Linked DNA regions of Drosophila melanogaster. The protein of the gene in region 2 interacts with the protein of the main gene of each other region in a pairwise test. Each region holds a gene or a part of one and is shown on either strand. Other genes may lie near its edges.

Evidence for each region.
Region 1: the proteins of Jon66Cii (region 2) and lama interact in a two-hybrid assay, tested with the Drosophila melanogaster proteins (one large-scale study listed by BioGRID).

The regions. Positions count from the first base shown.
Region 1 is NT_037436.4:5,353,647-5,357,584, forward strand, and holds the start of lama (lamina ancestor), read right to left. Parts: upstream 2,278-3,938; 5' UTR 2,048-2,277; intron 1,701-2,047; exon of another isoform or gene 969-1,700; intron 142-968; exon of another isoform or gene 33-141; intron 1-32. Other genes in the region: Klp64D (Kinesin-like protein at 64D), read right to left, coding at 3,575-3,938. UniProt on the Drosophila melanogaster protein: Putative phospholipase. Involved in the regulation of cellular plasticity in imaginal disks.
Region 2 is NT_037436.4:8,392,045-8,395,250, reverse strand, and holds Jon66Cii (jonah 66Cii), read left to right. Parts: upstream 1-1,601; 5' UTR 1,602-1,604; coding exon 1,605-2,393; 3' UTR 2,394-2,431; downstream 2,432-3,206. Other genes in the region: Jon66Ci (jonah 66Ci), read right to left, coding at 2,911-3,206.

The DNA.
Region 1 (3,938 bases), 3.0 Mb from region 2:
TGTTATATGACATGTTTATTTGGCAAACCTACGCTTGAAGTTCAGTGAGTATCTCGCGTGGAGCTCTGTTTACTGGGTCCTCACCCATGTCAACCGCCTGCCCGACACTCATGTGATCTGTTACGATTCAGATACAGATATCTGAAATATATGTGGAAGTTGTTATTTAACGGCTGCCTCAACTTCGGGGTAAAGTCTAGCCGATAACCGATAGCGGCAGAGTCATTCACGGAACTTAATCAGTGCTTCCGAAGAGGCGACAAGAGCTAAAAATAAGCGGCACCATTGGTATTTCCCCTCTGAACTTTGATAAGAGTATGCGGAAAATAAAAATATCACAAAAAAATTCGCATATGTAGAAATTAAACTTTTAGTGAAAAACTGTTGAGTGCCGAAAGCAGCTCACACAAATAGCACATTTTAGTTTGGAAAAGAAGAAAATATATTTTTAACAAATATACATCGAAATATATTTATACACGCTTTGATGGTTCACTCTATCTATTTTTAAAATCTATGATCTATTTTAAAGAATGTCAAAGAAATCCAGAAGCGTAAAGATCAAACTATGAGTTCTTTGAACTCAGAATAAATTGGTTTACATTTGAAAATATGACAAGATCCACTTCTTTTAAATGGAAAACCCATTTCACTCAAAGGACAGTCACCCCTATTGCGACTCGTCGTCTTTCGAACCCCGATCCCCAGATAATCCTTATACATATGTCTATCTATCGCAGACAATGATGGGAAAAAACGTCCCCAGACAATCGGAATATGTTGACCCTATTTTTGTCGGTAAACAGATATTGCGACGCGTTCCTGATTTTTGCGATGGCATTTCGAGGTCAATAAATGATACAATGGAAGTGTTTTCACTAACAGTTAACACTTAACACTCGAGTTCAGCACTCTTCTACCGATTCGGTTTCGGAATGAGATCGAGATTGAGAGCGAAGACAACTTACCGGAAAATTGAAATGGCTCGTGACTCAGGCAAATTCCGCGCCGACAAATAAGAGAAATTCGCAGGGGGTGTGGGGGGTGTCTGGGTTCGAGATGACACTATTCGTTGGATCGCTGCTAAATTCAGCCACTGCGAACACGATTTTAACACGATTTTGCTATATAGTCACACAACGCTCACGTGTTAATTATCCATGAAGGGCTACATTGAAAAGGCGCAGGTTTAGGTGTGTATAACTTTTCCCGGATTACACTCTCAATGCGATTGGTTTGATTGGCGGCGAATGGGAACCAAACACACACACACACACACACACGGCTATTTCGATGCAAAAACTTGTGTCACATCAGATTATCGAAATGTTTGATATGGTTATTGTTGCTATGCGGCGTATTGGAAATATCAACGGCTAGTAACTAATTATACAGCGTGGTCGAGTATATGTAATGTGCTGCTTGAGTGTGTTTTTTATTGGGGAGTTTGTTAGAACGCGAGAACGTGGCGTTTATATATGAAATAAAATTTCTTTTTTGTAATTTAGTTGAGCGTCGGGCAATACTCTCAATTTCTTGCACGCGTTACGTATATATTTTTAGCGTCGGCAATTGCACATCCAAATGAAATTGAACAGATAACAACGAACTGAAAACTCGAGTTCAACACGCAAACACAGATCACAGAGAATTAAAGCGATTTTCCTTCCGTTTCGACTATGCGCAGCGGACAGACTGATATTGTGGGCCTGGGGCCGAAGAGTTTTACGATCGCTCGGTTCGGTCTGTCCGCCGAAAGTGCGAGAGCAACCACTCAACTACACTCGACAACAAAACAGTCATTTATTTTGAATATGGTGTTGAATTTAATATATAGTCTATATGAAATGCTATGTGAATCTTGTTTATTTTATACAGAAATATATACTAAATTAAAATGAACCTGCTATCTGATATTCAAGTTTCTAAAAAAGTCCTAATAAAACCGATAGCTTCATGATTGATCATGATTACTATTTCCTTGTAGCTTGGTGTTTCGGTTATTTGTTTCCACTCAATTGGCTGCCAGTGGAGTGAGTAACTTTACCTTGCTCTCGGTGATTTTTCACTCCGATCTTTTTCTTTCACCTGGCAACGCAATTCTCTTTTTCACTTGGCAGATTGGTTTAATGTGAATATATGTAAATTGAACAGTTATTCGTGACGTCTTACTGCGATACCGCTGTCCGCTGAGTGGAGCTCCGCCCCCCAATTCGCAACTAGCTGCAGCTAAATGGGCAAACAAAACGTGCGGCGATAAGAGCAAACTGATAAAGCGGAAATGCTTTCAGCCAGATTCATTTGGGTAGCCTAAAATCTAAGCTGCGACAGGCGTAGAAATTCGCACAAAGGTAAATAAATAATGGATAAAAGTACAGTTTGCTTTCCTTATCGCAGGCTTACCTGCCCAAACAATCGCATCCCCTGCAGGTGGGATGAGTAATCCGGTATCGAAATAACACCTGAACGGACGGCATTTAAGCGAAACGAACATCAAAAAAAGAAGAAAGGACTATTAAATTATGACATTCTTATTTATCGTTCGACTTAAAGCTTTCACATTCTTGGGTTTATTTTAATTTTAAATTATCAGCAACCCAGATTTTTAAATTCCTTACGATTGACTTTTTTCATTTTGCCTTAGAACCTTTTTTGGCGCTGTGCTTTGTTTGCGTTGTGTCAAGCGATTGGCATCTGGTTCCATAGTGTAGCGGTTATCACGTCTGCTTTACACGCAGAAGGTCTCCGGTTCGATCCCGGATGGAACCAGGAGGAAGTAACTTTTTTTTATTTTTATTTTTTTAAACGCTTACTAAGTGGAGTTTTAGCAAACAAAAGTATATAATATGTTATATATAATTCTTTCGTGTTCATAGTATACACAAAAATCAGTTGTTTTTACTTAAGTATTATTTAGTATTTTGTGGGAATAAAAAACTTGAATTTATGTTTTCTGTCGTAATAAAAATTAATAAACATATAATGAATTTAAAAAAATATATACTTTTGTCAACGTGGTTCCATCCGGGATCGAACCGGAGACCTTCTGCGTGTAAAGCAGACGTGATAACCGCTACACTATGGAACCTGTTATGAGTAGGTCGGCCAAATTTCAGTTTTCTTCAGCAAGCCCGGAAAATTTAAAGCATGCTTTCAAGCTGCTAAAAAATAAAAAGAAATTACGCATAATTCCTTGAAGTAAGAATATAAAATAATTACGTGTGAGTATCATATTTTTATTTAAAAGCCAAGAGCACACAATAGTTATATATTTGTGCCTAATCGGGTAAAATCTTGTTACTACTTAGTTGTAAGTATTATAAAATAAATATAAGTTAGAAAGTAAAATTACAAACACAGTAGTAAATATATTGCACCGTTGTTCAACCTAAAAAGTATGTCCTAAGCAATAAATCAACAAAAACTAAGGTCTAACAAAAAGGAAATTCGCTGAGCAAATGAATCTGAGGCTGTAGAAAATCAAGATTAGCAGGAGCAGAAACCAAAATTGGACGCGCAGACCGCCGAGGACATGCAGCTGGACTAGCAGTCGATTGTCCTTCCAACACTAGCTTCAATATCGCCTGGCAGTCGTCGGTCTGGGCACACCCGAGGTTCGCGGCCTGGCGGATTTGGAGCGCATTGGATTGGACACGCCATCGGTGTTGTAGCTGAGATAGACATGTGAGAGATCGAGGAAATCTGGCTCCTTGCCACTCGTCTTGTGCGCCGAGATGTGTTTCCTCATATTGTTACCCGTGTAGGCCACACACTTCAGCTGCCACTCGCCGATGTCCTCGTTCCAGTGCGTATACTGATTAATCATCGATTGGTACTCCTTGGGCACATAGGAATTTAATACCAGCTCACATAAGGCCAATTCCCTGGATAGGCTCCTGATATTCTCGTATATGCCCTCCTTTTCGCGCTGGTGCTCC
Region 2 (3,206 bases):
TTTCACGTGCAATTGTTAAACGCGTTGCCTTGCACATTCGCGAGTGCTGACTGAAAGTATGCAATGTTTATTTGCGAAATGCCCTATGCACAGTTTGACACTCACTGAGTCTGTGCGGTTTGAGAGCCGCTGACAAGCGGAATGCGGAGAATTTGAAATTTGTGAGCTTTTTGCTACGTGGAAAGTTGTGCATGCTTCTTATTCCACAAAAAACGGAGAAAAAGGAAAAGAGTGGCCACAGCACCGACACCGAAGACTCCGATCAACAGCGCCACCCCCATTTACACTTACATTTAAATTGTACAGATTCCACTTGGGCATTCCAGCAAATCCAGGAAATAAGTTGCGGAATAAGTTAATTGAACAAATAAAACAATAATAATAATAATAATAACTTGGTTTACTGCTTCTTCGCGGGTATTTTCCGATAACGATATCGCAGGTGTATCGGTGTAGCTTTTATTTATAAGGATATTCACACTTTTATATATTAATAGCTTTTGACAATTTCTTGATCTTTTATTTTTAATCATGTATTTAAATAATAATACTATGTCGGGAAATGAAATAATGAGGCCAAACTTACAATAACATTTTTTTAATAAATACAAAACCATGTTTAAGATGTTTTTAAGCATATATAAAATTTATAGTGTTCCAATAAAATGATATTTAAAATATAAATATAATATAATATAAAATATATGAAAAGAATAATCGCGGCGGATAGCACTACAAATTAACTAAATACGTTTCCTAATGCTATATTTAAAACACTTAAATTTAAATCCGTAAGACTCATATAATCTATTTAAATAAAACAAAATACTAAAACCAATATCTTATCTTTTCTAATTGCAATCACTTAAGCTAATGAAAGTGTCGCGAATATTTACTGGTGTCATATATAGCTAATGAATAATCTATGAACTTCTGAATGGGGAAAAACACTTTGACTCTTTTTGATACTCACATATTCACATCCGAAAGACATTGTAAATATTTAAATCTAATCAAATGTTGCCTGTTTTTAAATGTTTAGATAAGATTCTAGGGAATCGTAAATTAAAACAAATCATTTTCGGTATATTAAATTTATATTAAACATAATTAAGAAAAGTAATTATTTGTGCCACGATGAACTTTTTCTATAAAAAACTTTTTTTTTAGTTTTCTATAAAAACTATTATGAATAAAGTGAATTCTGAGAACAATAGTTTGTGTACCTATCATACCACTTTTCAAGCCTTTTATTGTTCAGTAAATAAAAGGTCTAATGATAAGAACCGTAACTCATAATTGAATCATCGCATCTTGAAAGTTACATATAACAATTCCATATTGGTCATAGTTTTGCTGTGATTAAAGTTTAATATGAATTTAAGTCATATGGATTTGTTATCTCATTTGCTTCCATTAAACATTTCACACGGCTCCATTCATGAGCACTTTTAGCCAAGTTAGACTTTTAATAATATATTACCATTATTCTTTATCGCCTGTTTGTCGGAACGGGCATTTTATATGACCCACCATCTAGCCAGATACGATTAAGGTATAAATACTCCGTGGGCATTCCCAAGTTTTCAAGCTTTTCCAGCAACATGAAAGCATTCATAGCTATCCTGGCTTTGGCTGTGGCCTCGGCCTCTGGCGCCACCATGCCCCGTTTGGCCACCGAGAAACTGACCCCGGTCCACACCAAGGACATGCAGGGTCGCATCACCAACGGCTATCCGGCTGAGGAGGGCAAGGCTCCCTACACCGTCGGTCTGGGCTTCAGCGGCGGCTGGTGGTGCGGTGGTTCGATCATCGCACACGATTGGGTGCTCACCGCCGAGCACTGCATCGGAGATGCTGACTCCGTAACTGTCTACTTCGGAGCCACCTGGCGCACCAACGCCCAGTTCACCCACTGGGTTGGCAACGGTAACTTTATCAAGCACTCATCCGCCGATATTGCCCTCATCCGCATTCCCCACGTGGACTTCTGGCACATGGTGAACAAGGTGGAGCTGCCCAGCTACAACGATCGCTACAACGACTACAACGAATGGTGGGCTGTTGCCTGCGGCTGGGGAGGCACCTATGACGGCAGCCCACTGCCCGACTACCTGCAGTGTGTCGATCTCCAGATCATCCACAACTCCGAGTGCTCCGGATACTATGGAAGCGTGGGAGACAACATCCTCTGTGTCAGGACTCCCGACGGCAAGTCCACCTGCGGTGGTGACTCCGGCGGCCCCCTGGTCACCCATGACGGTACCAAGCTTGTGGGGGTCACCAACTTTGGTTCCGTCGCCGGCTGCCAGTCGGGTGCTCCCGCTGGATTCCAGCGTGTCACCTACCACCTGGACTGGATTCGCGACCATACCGGCATTGCTTACTACTAATCGACTATATCTGATTAAAAAAAAACTTCTTGAAGCGTAAATTTAAATTTTTGTACTTTACTCGGAGTATTACTGTGGACATGACGGCTTTTATTTTTAGTTAGTATTCAATATTAAATTTAAGAATAATATTTACGGATTGTTTGAAAATTACATTTTTAAATGGTATATAAAGTGCTCATGGACTATAATGTGATTCTACAGAGTCTTTAAACATATTATATATATATGTTAAGGTTGTGTCATTTAAATTATATAGATGTGGTCTTTTATAGGTAAAGAAAGATCTTAGATCTTATAATGGGATTGCTCTTAAGTCTTAGTTGCGGTTTTTTGTTTTACAGGATGTGTAGTAACAGGATTAAAACGATTGGGGATTCTTAAAGCTTGCTGAAATACTTAAAATTATTTCAATAATATTATTATTTCAATGATATTAATGACCAAATTCAACCCATAGTTATAAAACAATTTAAATTTGCACTTTAAATATTTTTATTCAATCGAAAATCGTTGCTTAGTAGTAAGCAATGCCGGTGTGGTCACGGATCCAGTCCAAGTGGTAGGTCACACGCTGGAAGCCAGCGGGGTGGCCAGCCTGGCAACCGGCTCCCGACACCCAGTTGGTGACTCCCACAAGCTTGCTGCCGTCATGGGTGACCAGAGGACCGCCGGAGTCGCCACCGCAGGTGCCCTTGCCATCGACCACGCGCACGCAGATGATGTTGTCGCCGACGGTGCCGGTTCCGTAGTAGCTGGCGCACTCGGAGTTGTGGATGATCTGGAGATCGACACACTGCAGGTAGTCGGGCA